Ovis aries: one gene and its partners. The protein of the gene in region 1 purifies or fractionates together with the protein of each later gene. This does not show direct contact. Links are inferred from orthologs where the notes say so. Each region holds a gene or a part of one and is shown on either strand. Other genes may lie near its edges. The genes, in order: HSF1, HNRNPA2B1 and BAG3.

Region 1 (8,090 bases):
CCCACTCCAGTGTTCTTGCCTGGAGAATCCCAGGGACGGGGGGAGTCTGGTGGGCTGCCGTCTATGGGGTCGCACAGAGTCGGACACGACTGAAGTGACTTAGCAGCAGCAGTGAGTCTTTTGTTACATTCTTGAATGTGGCAAGCAGACTGAACTAATAGAAATGGGAACTTTTGTATGAAAGAGTATGAAAACAAAATAGGAGAAACCCCACACAAGTGTTACTGAAAGGTCCAGACCAAACACAAGAAGTAGAAAAAAAGAGATCTAAACAAGCATGACAGGGAAAGAACAGCAGAAAGCACCTGATACGCTCCATGACAAGAGCCAAACGTCTCTCCTGACAGAGAAGCTGCCCAAGGTGCCCCCCAGTGCTGCTGGGAGCGCTGCTGGGGGTGCAGGGCAAGGCCAGGTGCGCGGGAGAGGCCAGGCCCAAGGTGGAGACAGGAGGGTGGGGCCAGGTGCAGGAGGGGAGCGGGGCCAGCAGAGGTGAGGTGTGGGGAGAGGCAGGCCGGTGGAGGATGCGCCAAAGATGACGGTGAGGCCGGAGAGGCTTCCTGCTTCGAACGGCCCGTGGCCCGCACACCTGGAACCCACAGAATCAGGGGACAGGGCTCCCCTGAAGAGTGACCCTTCCATCATGGAACTCTTAGCGGAAGAGAGAGAACAGGCTCCCTCCTGTGTCTGCCATTGGCCACCTTTGTCCCCAGGTAAGCGTCTGGACCCGGCACTTCCCACTCCAGGCAGAGGCCTGGAGAAGCACACTCCCAGCTGGGGCCCCTCGCCAGCCTGCATCCAGGTCTTTGACATCTCCCCAGCATGCCCCTGAACACCGCAGGGGCTGCCCCCAATCCTTAGCAAGGGACAGCAAAAGCCTCGAGACAAGCTGCAGCGATGCGTCCTGCCAAGGGTTGCGGAGAGTGCAGTGAGTGGAGCTGGTGAAACGCCACCCAGGAGCCCCACTAAGGCGGGGCCGCTCAGGCAGCCCTGCTAAGAACTGGCAGAGAGGGCGGGGGGGGGGGGGTGTGGAGGTGGGCAAGTCACCTAAGTCCACACGTCATCTAAACCACACCAAGGCCGTGGCTGTGGCCAGCATCACAGGAGCTCGAGGCTGCCATTCCAAAGCTGGGCCGCTCAGTGGAGGGGCTGGTGGCCGCCTGAGCGTCACCGCCACATGGATCCTGAAGCTGTGTGGTGGGGATGCTCCCTGACGAGGCTGCACGAGGACCCACACGGCAGGGCCTCATGACACAGGGTGGCCACAGGCTGTGACAGGGGAAGGTGGTCAGCAGACCCTCGAGAGGGCCCTGAGCCAGAGAACAGCCCTTGTGGTGGGAAGGTTTCATAGGCGAGCAGCGCTGCATTGGCTTCGGGATGCGAGAAGCAGGCTAACGCAGAACACAACAGGGCTGTCACAGGGGCAAGACTGTCCAGCCATGAACTGCAGTCACCAGGAGAGTGAAGGGAGTGGACAGGAACACCTCCTCTCCCAAATGGTGCCGCTTGAAGATGTCACTCTTTGTCAAGGAGGCGGAGGAAGGGCCCACCTTAGGTCACTGCACAGAAATCCCACCTTGGGCTTCGCCCCGAGGAAGCCAGCTGACAGCTAAGTCTAGCAGGCAGCCCAAGACCCTGGAGAAGTAACGTCAGGGTTCCTGGGTTACCGTGAACAGAGCACAGGGCTCCTCGGCTCCAAGCGGCATTCTGCCCCGCCCTTACTGTGCCCAAGGGAGGAGGAAGGAGGCCCTGGGGTCCACGGAGTGGGAGAGATCAGTGCCGGGGGCCCTCAGAGAGCCCGATGCCCGGCAGGCGCTATCTTGGCCATGGTCATCTGGGGTGCGGGGAGCCCTCAGGAGACTCCTGGCTCACCTACCTGCTGCCCAGGGCTCCTGCCCATCCTGCTGCGCTGCTCACTGGTCCCCGCCCCCTCCTCCTCCGAGGCAGTGGCATCCTCAGTGCTGTCGCTGCCGGAATCTTCCAGGCCTGAAAACACACTCTCCTCGCTGTCACTAAGGCCAGGATCACTGCCAAGCCTGCTGCTGGGAGCCGGAGCGCCGAGGAGAGAGGGCTGCAAGAGGCATGGCACTGATGACCCCAAGCCCACCCACCAGGCAACCAAGCGCTGACCCACAGCCTGTGTGGCCAGCCTCCTCGGTCACGGCCCTCAGGCCACAAGCCTCCAGCTCCACCAAAACCACCCACCCAACCCAGGCCTCCCTCACCACCCACTTCCACCGCCAGCAGGCCTCCTGCCTTTGGAGGAGACATTCAGTTAGAGTCTCACAAGAGAAGGACTTTCCAAGGAGCTCAATTTCCATCACATCACTTGCACCAGCTCTCCACCCTTCACGCCCGAAAGCCACATCTGGCATTCACATCTCCAGAGCTACCAGGGCACTGGAGTGGGGTCTGGGACAGGCAGAGAGGACCACAACCTGAGGCGCTTTTCCAGCCTGAAGAGGACTCTATCCAACCAGATAGGGACTGACAATTTATCAGTAAATTGTAAAGACTGGTTGAAGAGACGTAAAAATGATGCAAACTTTACTTAAAAGCAAGTGTTCTGGTTCACCACCCCATGGGATAGGACTAGAGCTTCCTCTGAGCAGAGGTCTGCTGACCAGACACCACCCAATCCCTAAGTTCACAAGACCCATGCACTTAGAGAGGGGAAACAAGAACTTACAGACTTTCAGCAAGCACTTACTTGAATGGAGAACCCTAGATTTCTGCTTTTTAATAGCTACTAATTCTCTCAGCTAACAGGAAAGCCTGCACTCACCAATTAGCAGCATTCAACTGAACTTCCACAGAAATAACTCTGATACACACTACTTCAACGCTTAGTAAGCTACACAATTACAACAGCAAATAAAAATGGCACAAATGGCTTGGGCACAAACACATATGGCTGCTGAGCCTGGTGCCCAGAATGCCTGCTAGCAGGAGGGCAGCAGGATTGGTCAGGGTAAAGGGGCTGCCTGACAACCTAGCAACGTGGAGTGCTCCCTTAGGCAGGCGCGGCTGGACAATCTTTGGAGGGCTGATGACACCCCAAACCCAGCTGAGGTTCCGCTGCATGTCTGAATGGAATGGCTTTAGGTGCAGTTAAAAAAAGGATGCGGCCAATACAGCAGGCACGGCCTTCCTATTCTCGTGCCCTTTTACAACGTATCCGACGTATCAGTAACGTACTAACATGCTCAAACCTCTTTAATGCAGGAACCACAATCCAAAGGGCTAGGGAGGCCACGCGCACGATGCCAGCCCCTCTTGCTAGTTCGCTCCGGCCCACACTTCTCCAACCACACTACGGGAGCCCCCTGCCCAGGACGCCCCCACGAGGCCACCGCCAGCACAGAGCTGGTAAACCGCCTCCTCGCACTCCTGGGCCCTGCTCCCCGGCGCTGGCCGCCCCGGAGCCGCCATGTGCGGCCCAGCCGCGCCACCCCGTCCCGCTCGAGCAGCCCGTGGTCACCTCCTCCAGCTCCGGCTCCGGCTCCGGCGGCCGCTTCCCGGGCCGCGCCACTGTCGCCGCCGCCACTGCGCCACTCAGCGCGAAAGCCATGCTCCCTGACCGCCAGGACCCGCGCCGCCACTTCCGGCAGCTAACAGACCGCGTGGGCCCGGGGGCGGGGCCCGAAGGGTCAGAGGGCGAGAGGCGGGCCCAAATGGGCTGGGCCGGCGCGCACGCGCGCGCCGTGGGGACGCGGGCGGGCGGCGCCGGCGGGAGCGCGCCCGTCGCAAGATGGCGGCGGCCATGCCAGGCCCCGGGGCCGTGTGTGCGCAGCGGGCGGCGGCAGCGCGGCCCAGGCAGCAGGCGCGGCGGCTGCGCTAGCCCGTCCCTCGGCCTCTCTTTGCGGTTGCTACCTCCTCCTCTCCCGTCTCGCCCGGTATGGATCTGCCCGTGGGCCCGGGCGCGGCGGGGCCCAGCAACGTCCCGGCCTTCCTGACCAAGCTGTGGACTCTCGTGAGCGACCCGGACACGGACGCGCTCATCTGCTGGAGCCCGGTGAGGGGCTGGGCGCGCCGGCCTCGGGGCCTGTAGGGGCGGACAGCCGGGGGTTCGGGAGAGCGTCCGAGGCTTCCCCTCGGTGCGCGCTGCCCGGGTCTGGGCAGGAAGGGCCTCTTCTCCTCGGTCTCTCGCCGAGTAATTGTGAGACGACGGCGGAAGCGCGCCTGGCTTGAGGGCAGCGCCCAGTTTCGTAGCGAGTGTGGTGGCCAGGTGACCCCACAGCTTCTCAGATGAGTTACCAGGGTGGTGGGGTCGGCAGCTGTTGCGAGGAAATGAGGATTTGGCGCAGGTATTGGAGGGCGCTGCTCTACTGAAAAGGAAAGGGACCGAAAAACAAAGCAAAACGTCATAAAGTTGTGGTGGGTCTCGAACTCGTGTCCGGATACCACAGCTGGGTTCCCCCAGAGCCACTTTTTATTTCGTTCCTCTCGGGGCCTCTCTATCCACGCCCCTGCCTCCAGTTGCCTGGCAGCAGGCTCGTCTCCATGGTCTGACCCTGCAGGCCAGACAGCTACCCCGCTTGCAGAGGTAAAGCAGAGACTGTCTGGAGTTGCGGCTGAGAATCTGCGTCCGGGCTGTGACGTTGCGTCCGGGAAAGGCCCGAGCCATAGCTCGCGGCCCGCAGGTGTGCGGCCTGGGCTGCCCTGGTTTGCGGAACCTCTGGGTGCCTCCGGGCACACTTGCTCTCCTGAGGGCGCTGGCTCTCCCAGATTCTTCTAAGTACTTCTCTTTCACACTGTTAAGCCGTTAGAAAGGAGCAGCAGTCTGAGCTGAGGCGAGCCCAGAGCAGGAGGCCAGGTCCTCTGGTTCCTGGGTTATTTGCTGAAGCTCTGTCTCAAAGCTGGTAAAGAGAGTCAGAATCATACTGCGTCCTTGTAGGGAACACTTCGTGTTGGTCCCAGTGACACACCTGTGTGCCACGCTCCATCCCTATTGCCTGCTTCTGTAACTGCGCAGCGTTCCCCAAGAGGAGGCTGTACTTCCTTCCCCAAGCCTGTCCTGTTACTACCATCCCCTTGTTCAAGGCCCTAAGCTTTGCTGACCCAAGGAAATGACCCCAGGTTTCTGTCTTTATTCTTCATTTCTCTTCTTTTCCTGTCCCCTAAACTCCCAGGAAATACTCTTAGCCAGGTTGGGGAGGGGCATCGGAGATCCTTTGGGATAGTCTGAGCTTAATCTACTGGGATAATCGCCTCTTGATCTGCTTGATGTTTCTGCTTAAAGATTGTGAGGCAGCAGCCAAAGCCCTGCCAGCGAGCTCTCCAGGTCCCACTTCCTGTGTTCCCAGCAAGGCCTTAGAGCTGGAAACCAGGACGGATCAAGCCTGCCACAGCCTCACACACAGTGGCTGCACCACCCACCAGCCCTGCTGGAACTTAAACTGGAAGGAGTGGGAGCAGCCGGCTGGAGCCCGTGCATTTAACCTCCCTCCCCTCTGTCCTTAGGCCAACCAGGATGTGCTTGGCGCGGGGTGCAGCGGGCAGGGGGCTAGTGGTGCCAGGCAGGACAGAACCTGAGCACTGGTTCAGCTGTGGAAGGAAGCCCTTTTCCAGGCTGGGCAGGGGCTGTGGAGCTGCCTGGCCCTGAGAAAGAAGATGGCCCTCTCCCTGAGTCCTCTGCGATGCCCACACAAAGCCCCAGGCCTCTGGCAGAAAGTCTGCTGGGGGAGACTTCTGCGGTCTTGAAGCCCGGCGTTGGCTTCCAGAGGCCTTGGAATGTTCTGGCATCTGTTCTCTTGGTGCCTCCCTTCCAGCTGGAACTTTTCTCCCCATTCTGCCCCGAGGACCCTGTGTTTGCCCCCAGAGACAGGAAAAGGGGGCGGGGTGGGGGGTTTTCCAGCCCCAGCAGTGCTGTGCATCCTCCGCACAGTCTGAGGCCCTACCTGGAGAGTCATGTTGGTTTCCTTTCCCTCCCAGACCCCCGGTCAGTTACCATGCTTGGTGTGGGGCCACCACAGAATATGCCAGGGCTGCCCCTCAGACAGCCCTGTGGGACCGAAGGCCCCACAACCTTGGGAAGGAACCTGGTGAGCGTGGCAGCTGCATCCATGGGATGCTCCGTGAATCAGGCCTGTTTGGCTTCAAGACAGCATTAACAGTGGTAGGAGGGTGGGTGCATTGCTGAAGGAGGCTCTTCTTGTTAGGCTGTGGGCACCATGAGGCCCTAAGAGCAAGGGCCTCCTTTGCCTAGGAGCTGGGTGTCGCCAAACCAGGCCCCATCCCAGGTGGCCAGTGTGAGCGCCTGCAGTTAGAGGGTCGCTCTGGAGGCCCTGGCTGCAGAGCAGCCTGTAGTCAGGTTGCCAGCTCTCTGCGGGACTCCTCGAGGGCCCCAGTTGCACCTGACCACTCCGAGGTGGCTGAGGATTGTTCCTGGGGCTCCCACAACAGGCAGGCCGCTCCTCCTCCTAGCTGGGAGCCAGGTGGGCCCCAGCAGGCCCTCCGCCCTGCCCTCGGGGGTTGGCAGTGGCCAAGAAAGGCTGGAGGAGCACCCAGCACACAGCACAGGCTGCAAGGGGCACTGAAGCCTTGGAGGCCCCTGGTGCCCCCTGAGCTTGCCACCCAGGACCCGGCCAGCCCTTTCCGGCCCTCCACGTAGCAGGAGGCCCAGCCCCAGGGCATCAGTTCACCTCCTCCCACGGCACCACGCAGAGGTGGCAGCTGGCCTTTTACAGACACGGGAACTGAGTCTCAGAGACGCTAGGAAACACAAATGAAAAGCAGGAGGACGGCTGAACCGGACCCAGAGTCCACGGTCTCTCGCTGGTGTACAGTTGTGGCTCACACCTGCCCTCGCTGCATGCCGTGTCTCCTGGGTAGAGGGCAGCGCAAGGCCCTCGCCGGTGGGGTCCAGGCTCTGGTCCACCCCACCTGCTTTCTTAACTGGACCCCGGCCATACTTGGACTGATCAGTACTCAGGTGTTCATAGAATTGTATTTTTTTGCAAGAGAGTCCCCATTTCACCTTCCGTAGAGGTACACAGATATATGTATGGACAGACAGAGAAACGGATGAGCCAGGCAGAGATCTATCTGTCCCTCCTGCTGAGGTAGGAGGGTGGAGGTGTGAGGAGGAGGGGCACAGAGACTCAGAAGGGGCTGGAGGGAGAGAGATGGACACAGCGGATGTGAGCCCGCCTGGCTCCACAGGCCGCGTATGCTCAGAGGGATCAGGGGGCCCACAGGACCCACCCTGGGCAGAGCAGTCAGTCTCGTCAGGTATCACAGGCTAGGGACCCACGTCTGCACCTCTGGCTGCAGGGATTCCCAACCTGGGAGCGCTGGGAGCGGCCCCAGAGCCCCTGGCCCTGGGCCCAGTGGTGACTGAGTCAGCAGAGGCCCCTGCGTTCAGCTGGGCCTGGAGACCCAAGTGTGGGGCGGGAGCTGGAGAGCTCGACCCTGAGCACAAATAGGACAGGGACTTGAGGGTGGTGCGAGCGGGCTCCTTCTTGGCTGAAGAGACAGGCCGGGAAGGACACCAAGCTGCTCTGCAGCCGCATCCACACAGCACTGGCGCTCTCACCGCATGCGGGTGCCCGCTGCATGCCCGTGACTCCCAGGACATGTCACGCAGACCCATCTCTTTGGCTGGAGGACTAGGACGGGCCTTCTGTTCTGGGCAGACTCTTGAAAGGTGCAGGTGGACCACTGGAGTCACCGTGGTGGTTAATCCTGTTGATGTGGAGCTCTTGGAGAATCTGCTCACAGACAGACCCTCCCTCTATAAAGATGTGCTCATATGCAGAACTTTGTATACATTTCAGGGTGTTCACAGTTCTGTAGGAAATAGGGCCACAGGCTCCAAATTTATAGCAAGACTGGATATTCACTAAGCCCTGCATTTCAGAGGCAAAGGCATTGCTCGCCAGCTAGCAGCTGGGCATCAGCTTCTCCCTTCCCCTGCCGTATGTCCCATCACTAGTCCCTCTTGTGTCTGAGGGTAAGCCAAGATCTTCAGGAAAGACATGGGGTCAGCAGAGAAGGAGGGGCCTTGAACTCCTGAGGCAAGAGGGAAGATGCGTTGGGTCCTGTGAGGGACTCACCAGCAAGCCTCCCAGGCTTCTAAAAGCCCTTAAGGT
Region 2 (8,090 bases), on another chromosome or scaffold:
TTAAATGTTACTACCTCTTGCTAACCAAATTAGAATATCCCATTAGGACCGATCTCACCTTAAGTCTTACAGATAACAAAGTAGGTCAGACTTCCTAGACTCCAATCAAAACTTTTTCAAGCACATTCACCCTCCTCAGCTTTAAAGGTGGACTTACCAGATCCTCCTCTAAAGTTACTTCCTGGTCCTGGTCCAAAATTTCCACCTCCACCACGAGAATCTCCAAAACCAAAGTTGCCTACAATAAACACCCTGGTTAGTAACTAACATTTACACAAATAAATCCTAAGAAAAAAATGGAATTAAAAGTTACCTCCTCTTCCACTTCTAGAACTTTGGACTTCTTGCATTTCTTGTCTAGACAAAGCCTTTCTTACTTCTGCATTATGACCATTGATAGTATGGTATTTTTGCACTGGAATGAAAAGTTCAGAGTCCATTAAGTCAGTATCCTATAATAGTTAAGTTACAAGCTTACTTTTTAACAAAGTTGTAGGTGTTAACATACCCAAAACCTAAAATGTTCAAGAGCTACAATCCTGGCACTTATAGACACTTACACACAATCTTATCCACAGGATCATGGTCATCAAAAGTAACAAATCCAAAGCCTCTTTTCTTTCCAGACTGCCTGTCAGTAATTATCTCAATGGTATCAATTTTTCCATATTCCTCAAAGTAATCTCTAAGATGATGTTCCTCAGTATCTTCCTTAATTCCACCAACAAACAGCTTCTTCACAGTTACATGAGCCCCTGGCTTTCCAGATTCCTGAAATAAGAGGAAAAAAGACATCCTGACAGAAGAAACCACAAATAGGAGTAAGAGCACACCATCTGGGTAATAAACATGGCTTCTATCTTATGGCCAAATACTAAGCAAGGCACCTTTATGATAAAGCACCTTGTTCTTTGAAAAGCCACTAACTGTGAAACAGAATTTCAGCCCAAATTGTTTATTGAACAAACAAGTTGCCTATTTGCTCACCTCTCTTGCAACAGCACGTTTTGGCTCAACCACTCTCCCATCAATTGAATGAGGTCTTGCAGCCATGGCAGCATCAACTTCAGCCATGGAAGAAAAAGTCACAAAACCAAATCCTCTTGATCTTTTGCTTGCAGGATCCCTCATTACCTTGAAATACAAAGTAGTGATGTTACCATTTAATCTCATTACTTACAGCATTTAAAAATAATCAACATAAATTTAAGTGAGTTTCTTTAAGTCACTTAACGTCTTTAACAGAGAAATCCAACAGTTAAAGGATTAGTACCCCTAAGGACTTCCACAATTAACGTACCACACAATCTGTAAGTTTTCCCCATTGCTCGTAGTAGTTCCTCAAACTTTCTTCTGTAGTTTCAAAGCTCAAGCCACCAATAAAGAGTTTACGGAATTGTTCCTTTTCTCTCTGCAAAGGAAAACAGCATTTCAATTTTTATTTACATTTTCTCTTTGTATGCTGGAAATAAAATTCTTAAATATGAGGTGACCTGCTGGCAGAGTACCTTTTTCCTCTCCAAAGGAACAGTTTCTAAAGTTTTCTGGGGGGAAAAAAAAAACTTACATCAAATTTAAACCATATGTTAAACTGCATATTAGTTGTGTTACACCAAAAAAAAATTGCCTCAGCCAAACTACACGTTTCAAAATCATTATGCTTGATATAAACTTACTTGACATTAAATGAGTTTAAACAAATATAGCATCACTTAGTTTTAAAAAAAATCTTTCTGAAGAAAGAAGAGCAAATCTAGTCCCTGGTGACTGTAAAGTTAAGAGTCTTATCAACATCTGCATTCGATCCTATAACTTAGAACAGAGTTCACTTTTACATATTCAAATACAAATTTTTAAAATATAACAACTTTCGCTTTATAACCCAGTTCCCATTTGTTTCTGGATTTAGCATTTAAGAAATGAGTTTCCCTTCATTGCTCCCTCTGGTGGTGATTATAATGTAACTCAATTTTCAAAACTCTGAAAAACTTAGTATTGACTTTCTTTCCTCATATACCAACTCTCCAGAGAAAATCTTAAACGTTCAATATATGTGGCAAAATAGCCTCAAAATTTATCTTTTCTGACGAAAGTATAAAATGACTTTTATGATTGACGGTCTCTAAAGCACATATTTTAACATAGCTGGTTTTGTTGATGGCCCAATCCACTATTACTGAACCAAAAGACAAATACAGTAAAAGACACTGTAACTTCAATTTTCAAAAACCATAAAAATATTTAAATGACCACTGTGACTATCCTCTCTAGTTACAAAATATCACTACGACTTACACTTCACCATGTAGAACTCAGTGGTCTTTTGGCAAATTACACAGCATAAAACAACTTTCATGTGAGAAGAGAGCCTGAGCTGAAATCTCAATCCTTACAAACCAGCACGCATATAAGCTACATTAATAGCTCTGTATTTGGGGCTATCAGTTAAGGAAGCTTGGATCATTTTATTTGGTTTTCAGTTGACTAGGTTAAATAACATTCAGAAACGAAAGTTAGCCACCAAGTGCACGTAGGTAAATTAAGTAGAACTACAACACTCAACCCATAGTTCCATCAAGTTTCTCTCCATGCATGATATTCTCCCAACATGTTAGAAAACAGTAATAATGCAGAGATTTCTTTGCCTGTACAGTTACTTTTAAGATTCTGAAATTTTTGAAAAGACAAATTCTCAAACTAGCTTATCAAACACTTAAAAGAACAATCTATTAAAACGGTAACTTGACATACTGGTATTTGTACACTTCACTTAAGCATATTTTATTTATTCCAAACACTTGTCAGTTAACTGGCCTTTTAAAACCCCAATAAAGAGACTAAAATACATCTACAACATTACAAATCACTAACAAAAGGCAAAAACTCATTACTTACCTCATTTTCCAAACTTACCCGCTGTCCACTATCGATTACAAACAAAGTTATTTTATAAGCGTGCTTAGGGTCAATGAAAATACCCAGGCAGACCCCCTTCGCTTGAGACCTTATGCTTATCAATGTAATCATCAACCATGATTGCAAACATAAACGAGAAAAGCAAGTGACAAAGTTCAAAAACACAGTGGCTCAGCCTAATAAAAGTTTTGTATACAGCAGAACACGCATTGAGGGACCGAGCCATGTTTTAATCAGAGTACAACTAAACTCATAATTTCAAGTTTATCACTAAAAAAACACCCGTAACCTTACCCAGTAAAGACTAAATTCCCCGGTAAAAATACTACTTAAAATACAAATAAATTATACGATTAAAAAAGAATCCGTCAGGAAAATAAAGGATTCTGAACCGAACACCGCCCCCCCCAAAGACCACCTTCCCCACGGCCTCCCGCAAAATCGATAATCTTCTCTAAAATTTTCATTTTATGTTTTCTACGATTCAACTGCCTTTTCAATCACCGGAAACGCAGGTAAAACTGTTACTCAAACAAGGACTGAAAAACAAAATATGAGGTCTTTATACCGTGGCACGCGTGAAACCGGGCCCAACACCCTAGAGGGTTTTACCTCCTAAGCCGAGCGAAACCGCCCAGGAGAACGCCGCCCCTCCCCCCGCCCTTCGGTGCGGCTCCTGAACGCAATGGCGCCATTTCATCGAGGGGAAAGGAGCGAGCCTCTAATGAGGTGCGCAGGACTTTAAAGCTCCAAGCTCCCTACACACTCGGAATCCACCTCGAAACAGCACGAAAACAGTCCGAAAAAAGAAATGAATAGTTACCCACTTCTAGTCCTCACTGAAAAAGTCAAGCTAGTCAAATCTAGAGAATTAAAAAGAAATCGCTGCGAGGAAGGAGAGAAATGAAAATGGCGGCCGCCAAATCCGGTTCCCGGGAGGGGGGAGGGGAAGCTCCGCAGCCCGGTTCGCTAGGACCCAAAACCCGCCGAAACGCTCCAACGCGGGGACGCCAGGACCCCCAAACCACCCTTCTTTAAAAACGGAGTAGGAATTCCTGCCTCCGCGCCCCACTTTCAGTAAAGTGGGGCTGCGTCCGCCATGTGGAAGCTCCCCATCCCCCACCCCCAGCAAAGGGAAATGGCGCCGTGAGGCTGAGGGTGGGGAAGGTGCTGTACAATTAGGCCTCTGCTAACGACCCCTCTCCAAAAATATCCTGAGACCAACCGCTTATGAAGTGGCCCAATTTCGCTGCCGCTCTCCCACGGAGGCGGATGGCCGACTTCCAGTAAGGCGCCAACGGCCTCGCCATGCCCTTTCCAACAACTCATTGATTTCAAACCCGTTACCTCCATCGCGGACTCAGTCGCTTCAGCCCGATTTCCCGCAGCCGAGCGAGATGAGAGAGATCTCCGCGGACGAACACGAACCGGACTCGTCCTGGCGCTGTAGTGAGAACTGCCGCTGCTCGAGAAACAACACCGCTGGAGCACCTCCACTCCAGACCCGGCGCTGCTGCTACTGCCGCTAGAGCCGCTGCCGCCGCTTTTCTAGAACCTTCCCCCCGACTAACGCGTCTTCCCTACGTCAGGCCGTTGCGTAAACGTCCTAACCGCCGCCAATGGCGGGAACGCTCTACGACCTCCTAGCGCCAAGTACGTGCCCCTCCCCCTTTAAGGCCAGCACTGATGCTGGACGTCAGTTGCGTAAAAGGGCTCTGTAAATTGCGGAAGGCTCGAGTCCTGCGTATTTCTGTCTCTCGGAATTGGGGACTGCCCCCGCAGGGCAGGTGAGAAACGGTCGCGCAGTTTGAAATTAACGCTGTTGGGAGGAGCTTAATCCTCAACCCAAAAGTCCAGCCCCCTCATCCCGGGAAGTGGTCCTTACAGCTACGCTTCGATGGCTTTTCCTCGGTCCCCAGTTTTAAAAAAATCTTTGTAGTCTCTTCCACTGTGTTTTCCCTCCCCCACCTTCTCCTATCCTCCCCTCTCTGCGCGGAGAACCGACTGACCCCTTCCGGAAACACCCGAAGCGACTTCTAGTCAACAAATTACACTTAACGATCCACCACCCTAACCCTGGCCAATGTTTTTGGGGTCCACATTTCAGGTAGTCGAAAGTGGTGCTCGTTCTTAGTTCCCGATTCCTCCCACCCACCCCCAACGTTTGGAGGCACCCAACCCCAGGGGCGAGGAAGTGGGCGGAGTCCTGTTTTGGCGCCAGTCGCTAAGGCGGCAGCAAAGCAGGAAACACCTCCGCTGAGTAGGCTTAGGTCGCGGCCCTCAGCTCCCTCCTCGCCCTCCCTTCGGGCGACCACCAGACGCCACGCCGCGAACTCTAAGAGCCGCTGTCACCGCCCCCTGCTTTCCCCCCTCCGTCGGGCCCGGGCTCCGGCTCGGGCTCCCGGCGGGCACTGCGCGGCGCGCGGCCCCACCCCCCGGGGCGCGCGCCCACCCCGCCCCTGGCGGCTGCCTGGCGTGGGCGGTGCCACCTTCCCCTCCCCCCAGCGGCGGCCCCGCGCGCAGCGCTGCTCCCCAGCCCCCCTCCCTCTCGGATGTGACTGGAGCTTGAGGCGCGCAGGGCCGGAGACGTCGCAGACCCGGGACCCGGAGCAGCTCAGAGGCGGTGAAGTCGGTGTCTTTTTTTTTTTCTCTAGCTTTCACTCGGTGGTGTTGCTTAAGATACCGCATAAGCCCCAGAGACCCGCATTTCCCCGCTTCCTATCTTCCTCGCCGGACCCTGAGTCAGGACCTGGCGGGAAGGAAAGGAGAAGCGAACAGAGACCCCGTGGCGGGCCTGGCTTCGGGCCGGCGTCTGTAGTTGGTTTAGGGGATGAGACTCTTCTCAAGGTTGAAAGCTGTGGCGCCAGCCGCCTTATTTCTAGACAAAGCGCATTTTTTCCTCCCCTCCCCCATCCCGGACGAGGTTGAGGGGGCCTTCCTTCCCGTCCCGTGCTTGGTCGGCGACTTGGGCCTCCAGGGAGGGCGGTGCATTCTCCCGCATCCGCGCAGCCGAGTGTCCGCAGACTGCGGCGGGCGCTCCGTTACGTGGCCGCCGCCGGGTGGGGAGAGGCACGGGCCCCGTGGCGCAGTGCCCTTGAGCCCCCGCGCCGCGGCCTTTGTTTCTCCCCGCAGACGCGCTGACCACGAGGCCCGCGCTCTCGTGTGGCGGGGTTAGGGGCCGGGCGCTAAGGCCTCGTTAAGCCGGGTGGGGTAGGGGTTTAAGGGGAGCGGATGAAAGTGCAGAAATAACTGATTTGTTTTCAAAAGTGGCACGAAATGTAACTGGAGCATCTCGGTATGTTTTAGTTTTTCAACTAGTGATTGAGAAGGTCTCTAAGAAGAAACCAAGTTAGAATTAAATTACATAGACGACTCTTCCGATTGTTAATGTCTTAGAGGGGAAATTCACACTAATTATTGTAATCGATTGGACACTTGTCTGATTTGAACCAGGTTATTTAGCTAGTTTTTTAAAATGCTGACTATGGTTTAAATGGGATTCGGATTGGAAAAAAAAAAATTTGTCAAATTTTTACCCTGTAAAGCTTTCGCGGATACTAGGTTCTCAGTAAGGTTGTATAGATAACTTACAGCACTGATATACTCTCAGGCACGTATCACTAGTTTACTCAGAATCTTAAAACTGCTCCTCTGGATTTGTATATGTTTGATGACATGAGCTAACTAGGTGGGGGTTGGAATCAAAACAAAAACTTACGTGTAGCTATCTTTTTATGTCTTACAAACTTCTTAACTGTCATGCATTTTTTTAGTAATAGCTCTTCAAGTCTGCAATAAAAAATGGCCTCCAATAAAACTACATTGGTAAGTTAATGAAAACCTAAAATATTTAAGGATCTAACTCAAACTTTTTTCCTCCCAAAATTATAACTGCACCTCTGTGGTTGGGAAATTACACCCATATGTAGTTCCAAGTTCCCTCTCCCCCACAACTTAATGGGGAGAAGTTAGGAGCATAAAAGGAAATTATTACATTCACTTGACTTCATAGTGTTTCGATTCATTTAAAGAAACCTAATTTTGGGAGGGTAGCACAATGTGAGTTTTACCAAGTATTTTTATTTTGGAAAGATACACAAATTTATGTGACATGGAAGAAGGTTACAGGTATAGACAGACAAAGTAATAAAGCCTTGTTGATTACTGTTCTCTAAGTTACTCTATACTGAATTCTAGAGAAAGCAGGTATTTTCAGTATTGCCCTGTTTATAAAACGGATATCTTGTACAGTTAGATTGAGATGAAAGTTGTTGTGTCTTTCAAATTGTTTTGGTTACTGTCATGTTTCAAACGTGCTTATTCTAAAATACAGAAGGACTTTAAATCATTGCAGTGCAGTTTTTTTAAATACTCAGCATGAAAAACATCACGCATGTCCAGAAAAGAGAGAAGACTAGATCTTCTGAGCAATTTTTTTTCTCTCCAGCAGTTCTTAAACCCACAGTTTGCATTCTTAGGTTTCATTAAAAGTTCTACAGATTGTTGACATATGTGTATTCAGCCTTGTTAAGTTACAGATTTTAATTTAAGCCCTGAAATATTCACATAAAAATCATGAAATTCAGTTATGTAATTCTAATACATTGTGTTAATAATTGCAAGTATATGAAGGTTAGTGTGTTAACATCTAAATGAGCAAAACATTTCCTTTTGGTTTGTAACTTCTGCCCTTGGGTTTCACAACAAAAGGATAAGTTGGTGGGTTTTTTTGTTTGTTTCATCATTAGATATGCACTTTTAAGTCAGACATCCTGAGAAATGTTTAAATATGAAATATAAAGCCTGTCTGGTGGCATTCTTTATTCCCATGCTTTTGGGAAAGCCCAAAGCATCTTCGAACACGTCTCAGGAATGAACTGTCTTTCAAATTTCGTAATCAGTAAACCAAAATGTAGATAATTAAATTGGCTTTACAATCACCAGTATCTTTAAAGTATTGGATGGGAAAGGAGCTACCTGTCCCTGAGACTGTGGGGATAGATATATAGATACAAAAAGCAAATAGATGCTTCTGTTAAATTGCTCCTGCTTACAGTTTGATAGTCTTCAGTATCTACTTTTCATTTTAAAATAATTTTGTTAAGTGTTGTGAGGTAATGTGTGCTTTAAGTGGGAAAGTGAGTGGATTTTCTCTTGAAAAAGATGAGCATTTG
Region 3 (8,090 bases), on another chromosome or scaffold:
CCTTCCAGGCTCCATCCCTCCCCCTGCCATCCTCATCGTCACCCCCAGAAACTCAGGCACCTGCTGAGTTTCACCAGGAAGGAAGGGAGGCTCGGGAGATAGCTCTGCAGGTTTAGATGTGAAGCAGGCTCCCTTGAGGATGCCAAGGCTCACACAGGTGCACACAAAGTCATAGCTCCCCCACGCCACCCCCTCTAGGATGTGGGATCATTGTCCTTTGGTGACTCCCAAGTGCCCGGGCGCCAGAATCAAGAACCAACAGGGCAGCTTTTTCTGACATATAGATTTCTAGGTCCTACCCTGAACAACCTGGACCCAACAAGGGAGTACGCACAGCTGGCAACCTGTGTTCTCCTCAGGCTTCCCTGGAGACTGCCAGGCTCGGGAATCCGTGCCCAGGCACCTCCAGGACCGGAAAAGCTAGAACTGCCCTGCTCCTCTGCCCAGGGAGGTTTGCAAGGGAGCGGCACAGCGCCACACTCCAAAGCATCTGGCCTGTTTATTTCACAAGGCGAGCCAAAGGAGCGGCCTGCATAGAAACTGTACATCTCAAAGAGGATGCCAAGCCCTCTTCCAGAGAAGGGGCCTGGACTGGTAGGAACTTGCCAGGAGACGTATGCAGAAAATCGATATCCAGGAAGACTGCAGGTGGGGAGGTTCAGATTCTCAGAGTGGAGCTGGAGTAGGCCCAAAGCCTTTGCCTTTAGCTGTCCTGCCTCTGCAGTGAAGGGCAAGATACTTTCACTTGCCCCCTCTTTAAAAATGGGATGAAAAGTCACTCTAAACACCTCAGGGAACCGGGAGAGGATCAACTCTAAGACAACAGCAAATAAAACTAAACCATACACAAAGTTCTAGTCTTCTTCTTTCCAAGAAATTCATTCATTTACCCATATGATTAAACTGCAAACACCCCAGAAACTGTCTTCCCCTGAAGACGGCTTTCTCTGCTTTTCATGTTCGGTGAATAGCTCTTTACTGACTGACAGCATCTTCCCTGGAAGGTAAGGATGCTCAGAGGGTCCTCGTAGCTCAGTTCCTCTAAAATGACCCTTTGTTTTTTGCCAGAGCTCTTTTCTCAATCCACATTAAGAAACCAATTTCTGATATAAAGTGCTAGTGAAGGATATTCATTTCATGGCAAATAGATGGGGAAACAATGGAAACAGTGAGAGACTTTATTTTGGGGAGGGGGCTCCAACATCACTGCAGATGGTGTTTGCAGCCAAGAAACTAAAAGACACTTGCTCCTTGGAAGAAAAGCTATGACCAACCTAGACTGCATATTAAAAAGCAGAGACATTACTTTGCCAACAAATGTCCTTCTAGTCAAGACTATGGTTTTTCCAGTAGTCATGTATGGATGTGAGAGTTGGACTATAAAGAAAGCTGAGCACTGAAGAACTGATGCTCTTGAACTGTGGTGTTGGAGAAAACTCTTGAGAGTCCCTTGGACTGCAAGGAGATCCAACCAGTCCATCCTAAAGAAAATCAGTCCTGAATGTTCATTGGAAGGACTGATGCTGAAACTGAAACTCCAATACTTCGGCCACCTGATGCGAAGAACTGACTCACTGGAAAAGACCCTGATGCTGGGAAAGACTGAAGGAGGGAGGAGAGGGGATGGATGACAGGATGAGATGCTTGGATGGTATCACCAACTCAATGGATATGAGTTTGAGTAAGCTCCGGGAGTTGGTGATGGACAGGGAAGCCTGGCATGCTGCAGTCCATGGGGTCCCAGAGAGCCAAACATGATTGAGCTACTGAACTGACTGAAAGAGTTTCCACTGTATTTATTTTCCATTGTATTTATTCTGGAGTGAGGTGTCATTCACAGAAGTTAAAGTGAATTAGTCACATAGTTGTTCTGTGTACATCAAAGCACAGTCTTGAAAGCCATGAAGCCCACAGAGCTAACGAAGTGAATGTTAGTTTTCTCCTTATGTTCTAGTGCCACGTTGAGAAATCTCAATTAATTTGGTAAGCAGCTCTTTTTTTGAGTTGATCACATCCAGCCATCACCATCCAAGTAGTCACAAAAGTCAGAAGGGCAGAAAAACAATCAAGTACTCCAGCCTTCCCAGTTCACACTTAAATTTCATAGAAATTTAAGAAATTTAAGACTCTTCTACCTTCCTCTGAACAATAAACTGCCTCTTAAATAGGACTTTCCGGTGTAGGTCTCTCTTTGCTATTGGTCCTGGCTGAATGGCCTTTGGAAACACATGTGAACTCTCTGGGTTTCTTTCTCAGAAAAAGAGAGGCTGAGCTAAAAGATCTTAAACGATCTTTCAACTTTAAAATTCTGTTAAATTTTCAAATCAACTTTTATGGCATCAAACTTCTGATTTACTAGCTCTTATGTTCTACTTGTTGAGAAAAATAACAGTAACTTAACCTGTTCCCCCCGCCCCCTTGCCTTGAAAAAGTTTGTAAAACCACAGCCTAACCATCCATCATACATAAGATCTCAACCTGCTGGGTGAGTTTCACGTTGAAAACCAAGCGCCAACAATGTGGCATGTACACTGAACTCACAGTGGATACGTTCCTACTTGACCTACACTCACCACCACTGACGCCAGTGGATTCTGACTCTTCCTGTCTCTATAGGAAGGAAGCCTCAAAAAGACAGGTTGGTTTTTTTTTTGGCCTCAGTAAAGATCTACACCCTTGCAGTCTGCAGTAACAGAGCTGGTTTAAAATGAGCTTTAGTTTCACTCAATAATGGGCTGAACAGACAAGCGAAAGGAATACATGGTTATGTCGATCCCAGCTAATTACAGCCTCTTGAAATAATTTTCAGGAATAAATATACAATTAATTTCTCATAAGCATAAGCTGCTGATTATACAATATCTCACTGTTGGGCACCAGAGTTTCATAAATATTTTAAAGGAAAAAGCTGCATAAAACTGAAGATGGTTAACACAGATTTTTTTCTTCTAAAACAATGGTTTATAAAACATTTTTAATTCTGTGAATTTTTAAATCTTAAAAATAACTTACCAGCTCTTTATGTCTTCTATTTTGCCCAGACTATTTCTTTTTGCCAAGCTTTACGTTTTGAAAAAGCTCAAAGTTATAAAAATTACAAGAGCAGTACAATTAGTTATAATTTTTTAAATTAACAGACTCATTCCAAGTTTATATTTTCAAATTTTCATGGTTCTAAGGATTAAGTAGTATATACACCCCTGCGTATATGTAAATGAGGCATACTTCTAATACAAAAGTATTACTACTAAATTATTTGTGTATTGGGGATAAGAAAAAATCCTAAATATTTTAGTAGCATAACGAGAAAGGGAATGTGTTGATTTTTTTTTTTTTTTAATCTCTTTCTGACCAGGGTGAGGCAGTATCTAAGGCAATAGTCAACTAGGAGACAGTCTCACATCTTCAGTTTAGAAATTGCCTGGAAGATTGCATCTTATTTTTAACAAGTCATACTAGAATATATTCCTAGTGAGGACAACTTTCAAACAATAATAGAGTTTTAATTTCAAATACAGAAGGGAAAAAATAAAGAAAAGGAATGCATTTACATCAGTCTCCTGAGTCACTCTGTGCCTGAGGTGGGAGAGTGAACTCCAGATACCCTCAACCAAGTTTAGGAACTTGAGGATGTAAAATTCCTAAGAGACCCTAAAGGACCCCCACAGAAGCTTGCCAACGGTCCCCTGGCGTCTGCCAAAGCACGGTCAGCAGAGAGAAAGGAGGATCTGAGCCCTGGAAGCCGGGTGGAGACCGTGGCAGGGCCTGGCCCGGGCCTTGGTGCTGAGCAGGCCGGCCACCCGTCGTCTCCTGGCCCAGGGCCCCTCGAATGGAGCCGGTGGACGGGACCTGGTGCCACCGCGCGGGTCCCGCTTCCCGCCCGACCCCCGGAAACCAAACACGGCCAAGGGAGGGCAGTCCTCTTGGGAAGCTCCCCAAACTGGCCCAGACGCCGGCCAAGGGCGGGCCTGGAGAGTGGGCTCGTGGGGGGCGCAGCAGGCCGACCCCCCTGGGAGCTGGCGTCCTTCTGGGGATCCGTGCATTCCAGGCGGCCTTCACTGACCTCCGAGGCACCGGCTGCGGCCGGCGGGCACCTGGCGCCTTGCGTCCCCGCAGCCGGGCCCAGTCCAGCCGCCCCCGCCCGGCCCTGTCCCTAGACTGGCCGTCGATGGGGGGCTGGGGGGAAGGTGGAGGGGGAGCCACTGGCAAGGGTGCGGCGCGGGCCTTGCTCACCTTGGGGCCCTCGGGGGGCACGCGCGGGTCGTTCCACGTCGTGGTGCGGTTGTTGTGGTCCACGAAGAAAGGCCAGCCGGTCTGCGGGTCGATCTTGATCTCCCAGCCGGGGGGCAGGGGGTCGCGGTCGCTGGCGCCGTTGCCGGACGCCATCTGCACCATGGGCGAGTGGGTGGCTGCGCTCATGCTGGGTCGGGGTCGGCCCGGAGGGGCGGCCGCCGGGGTGCTGGGTTGCAGGGTGCCTGGTCGCGGGGTGCCGGGTCACGGGGTCGCGGGGTGCCGGACCTCCAGGTGTAGGGTCGCTCGCTGGCCGCTGCCGGAGCGGAAAGTCGGGAGCGCCGCCGACGTGTCCGGGAAGCCGGCGCCGGGCACCTTTATGAATTAAAGGAGGGGGTGACGTGGCCGGAGAGGGCTGGAAGTGTCTGGAAATAGCCTCCTCGCTGCCAAAGGGGAAGGAGGAGATAAAGGGAGGTAGCAACTGGCCGGCTAGAAACTTCTGGTCCCATCCAGAGAAGTTGGCGGCGACGCGGGTTGGATGCGGAGCTCCGCCCTGAGTCATCAGCTATAATCGGGGCGGGGCGGGGCGTGGGCGGGGCGTGGGCGGGGCCTCCGCCGGCCGCCCCTCCTCCACCCCGCCACCTCTTCCCCCTATTCGCGGCTCCCCGGGTCGGGGGCTCCTGGCGGAGTCTTCCCTGAGCTGGGCGAGGGGTTTGCATCCGCGGGATCCCTGTGTCGCCGAGCGGCAGGTCGAGCGAACCCCCGGGGACGTCATCTGTGTGTCCTGGGCCGGTTTCGGTTTTCAGATTTGCTTGGTCTTCTTCGAGCCGCGTGGGTGTTCCCGGGACTGGCTCCTTCGTGTAAAAACAAACTCATCGTTAGCCTTTTAAGTCGTTGGGGATTAAACTAGAGTCTCTCCCACCTCGCCTTTGTACCCCCAGATTACTGATACTCCGGGACATTGGTGACCCTCAGTTAATCACTTTTCCCCATGGGCTTAAGGGCCGTCCGGAAAGGGCTCTGGAATGTTGATCCGACACCAGAAGCAAGCCAGGGCGAATAATGGAAGTACAAATAGAAATTCACCTGCCTTTCTTTCGAATCCTAAAGAAAGATTGCATCAGCGCATGCATGTTGCTGAAGCACATGTCTTAAACGTAGACTCTGTCGTTGCAGTGAAGAACTTTAAAGAAAAAACATTCTTTGGGGTTTGGGGCTTGTTGATGGTGCAAGTTGGTTCTTGCTATCTTAATCTGACCTTCATTTGGAAAGTAGTGTAAATCATGCGTGCTCAGTCACCTCCGACTCTTAGCGACCCTGTGGAGCCTGCCAGGCACCTCTGTCCAGGGAATAATACAGGAGTGGGTTGCCATTTCCCTCTCCAGGGGATCTTCCCGACCTAGGGATCAAACCCATGTTTCTTGCACTGCAGGCGGATTCTTTACCCACTGAGCCACCTGGGAAGCCCTTTGAAAAGTAGGAAAGAATACAAATTATGAAAAAAAATTTGTGTAATGAAATGGTGGTTGCACTTGTAACCTCCACCAAGCACCTCATTTCCTCTGGGAGAGAGAGAGAAAGTATGCCCCCAGAGGTGGTATGTTGGGAGGTCTCATTTTAGATTTTTAGGCCTGCAGGATCATTCCCTTCCCCAGAAACATTTTTGAGAAGATGCCTTGGGCTAAGTAATATTGGGCCCAATATTCCAACTCAAATGCAGAGGACATTCTGGAACCCTCAGAAACACTTTTTTGGAGTCTCTTCCCACCCCCAAATTACTCCTTTTAGAGCAAATGCTGAAGAGAACTGCCAATCATTTTCAATGGAATGGGGGTCTCACTTACATAGGTCTACTTACCAGCTTTGAAGTACAAAAACTCAGCTTTGTGAAAACACAGAGATGTTTAAGCCCTGTACTATGTCAGGCTTTCCAGGTGGCACAGAGGTAAAGAATCTACCTGCCAACAAGAAGATGCAGGTTTGATCCCTGAGTCAGGAAGTTCCCCTTGGAGAAGGAAATGGCAACCCACTCTAGTATTCTTGCCTGGAAAATCCCATGGACAGAGGAGCCTGGCAGGCTGCAGTCCATGGGGTCACAAAAGAGTCAGACATGACTTAGTGACTAAACAACAACTGACTCAAGTCACCACCAAATACATAAGAGACTGAGGTATAAACCCAAATGCTAGTGCACCAATTTACCATAAGAAGTATTATTATTGAAAGAGCTGGGCCTGCAAGTGCACTAGTCAGTGGGCCTCTTTTTTATTTTTACTTTTGGTCGCACTGGGTGCCACGTGGGATCTTAATTCACTGACCAGAGCTTGAACCTGTGTCCCCTGTATTGGAAGTACAGAGTCATAACCACTGGATTGCCAGGGAAGTCCCAGCGGCTCTCATATTTTTCCTTATTTCTGAAGCCTTGAGCAGAAGGTTGGGCCCAGAGTCCGTATTCAATAAATATGGATGTTTATTGAAGGTTGATTCCAAAGTGAATGTTTATTTGTATTTTCTTCCTTTGCTTGATTTCACTACAACTACATTTAAAGACGGAACATTCTTTGCTAGTGTTAACATTTGTTTGCTTTTTTGTTAGATTTGCTAGAGAAACAGGGAGGAAACAGTTTCCTCTGGGATTAACATACCCCACTTCTGAGAGTTATAGCCCATCAGGGGTTTCAAGTGGGTTTGTCTACAATGGAGTCATAAATCTTGGAGAACTGTCTAGAAGAAGCTCCTTTAAGCCATGCTGAATAATGAGGCACATGTCTACTCTTGATGGCTTTTTCTTTTTCTAGATCTTATGACACTCATTCCCCAGGGGCTATAGACTAGATATTTGTGTCCCCCAAAGCTCATATATTGAAACATATTCCCCAATGTGATGCCATTTGGAGGTGGGTCCTTTTGGAGATGCTTAGGTCATGAGGATGGAGCCCTTATGAATGAGCTTAACGCCCTTATACAAAATAAATAAATAAATAAATAAACCCATAGAGCTCTCTCCCTGCTTGCTTCCACCATGTGAAGGCACAGTGAGGAGATGGCTGTCCTCTGGCACCTGCTAGACACTGAATCAGCTGGTGCCTTGATCTTGGAATTTCCAGCCTCCAGAACTATGAGAAATACATTTCTATTGTTTATAAGCCCCCCTGGTCTGAGTTAGTCTGGTATAGTAGCTCGAATGGACCAAGACACAAGGCCTTCTGCAGTTCATTTGCCTATCAGAAGCTGAAGCATGACCCTGAATTTCCATTTTTCTCTTTCTAATCATCATTGAGTCTGTAGATGGCACCACCTCGGTACTCGTTGTTTATGGGTATCCTCTCTTTCTTCAGTACCACCAGCCTAGTCCAGGTCATCCTTGTCCCTCGTGTGGACCCTGGAAACAGCCTCTTAGGTTGTTCGTGTCCAATCCATTGCCAAAATGGTGGCCAGAGTGACCATTTTCAAGCACAAGTGGGCCATGTCCTTTCTCTGGTTAGAATGCTTGAATGGCTCCCCATCGCCCTTTTTATCTCCAAATCCAACGCTCATTGGCCTGGTGTGTAAAAGACCCTTCTTCCACTCTCTCTGATGCCCACTCTTTGCTGGCTCTGCTGGACTATATATATCATGAGCACACTACCTCCTCAACCTTCTTCACCACTGCTGACAGCTCCCACACCCTTTGCCTGGCTGACTCCCCTCCATCTCCAGGTATCACCTTTGGTATCACTTTCCTTTGCCTTCCTAGTCTGGGTCATGTGTCCTTTCTAGATGCTCCCATACAAATCCTGGGGCACCCTATCAAGTGTGCTGCATTGCAGTTGCTTGCCTGATGGTCTGATTTGCTATGCACTGAGTTTCTTGAGCCTAGG

The links.
Region 2: the proteins of HSF1 (region 1) and HNRNPA2B1 purify together in Homo sapiens (affinity purification with mass spectrometry; 3 studies listed by BioGRID, with this or other methods). This does not show direct contact. The link is inferred for Ovis aries from reciprocal best matches to the Homo sapiens genes HSF1 and HNRNPA2B1.
Region 3: the proteins of HSF1 (region 1) and BAG3 purify together in Homo sapiens (affinity purification with mass spectrometry; 3 studies listed by BioGRID and IntAct, with this or other methods). This does not show direct contact. The link is inferred for Ovis aries from reciprocal best matches to the Homo sapiens genes HSF1 and BAG3.

Annotation. Positions count from the first base shown.
Region 1 is NC_056062.1:13,584,681-13,592,770, reverse strand, and holds the start of HSF1 (heat shock factor protein 1), read left to right. Parts: upstream 1-3,728; 5' UTR 3,729-3,895; coding exon 3,896-4,012; intron 4,013-8,090. Other genes in the region: ribosome biogenesis protein BOP1, read right to left, coding at 1,874-2,068, 3,479-3,568. UniProt on the Homo sapiens protein: Functions as a stress-inducible and DNA-binding transcription factor that plays a central role in the transcriptional activation of the heat shock response (HSR), leading to the expression of a large class of molecular chaperones, heat shock proteins (HSPs), that protect cells from cellular insult damage.
Region 2 is NC_056057.1:71,301,139-71,309,228, reverse strand, and holds the start of HNRNPA2B1 (heterogeneous nuclear ribonucleoproteins A2/B1), read right to left. Parts: upstream 4,438-8,090; 5' UTR 4,270-4,437; coding exon 4,264-4,269; intron 1,545-4,263; coding exon 1,509-1,544; intron 1,412-1,508; coding exon 1,301-1,411; intron 1,135-1,300; coding exon 988-1,134; intron 772-987; coding exon 561-771; intron 416-560; coding exon 314-415; intron 239-313; coding exon 158-238; intron 1-157. Other genes in the region: CBX3 (chromobox protein homolog 3), read left to right, coding at 6,718-6,741. UniProt on the Homo sapiens protein: Heterogeneous nuclear ribonucleoprotein (hnRNP) that associates with nascent pre-mRNAs, packaging them into hnRNP particles.
Region 3 is NC_056075.1:39,285,735-39,293,824, reverse strand, and holds the start of BAG3 (BAG family molecular chaperone regulator 3), read right to left. Parts: upstream 4,773-8,090; 5' UTR 4,420-4,772; coding exon 4,234-4,419; intron 1-4,233. UniProt on the Homo sapiens protein: Co-chaperone and adapter protein that connects different classes of molecular chaperones including heat shock proteins 70 (HSP70s), e.g. HSPA1A/HSP70 or HSPA8/HSC70, and small heat shock proteins (sHSPs), e.g. HSPB8.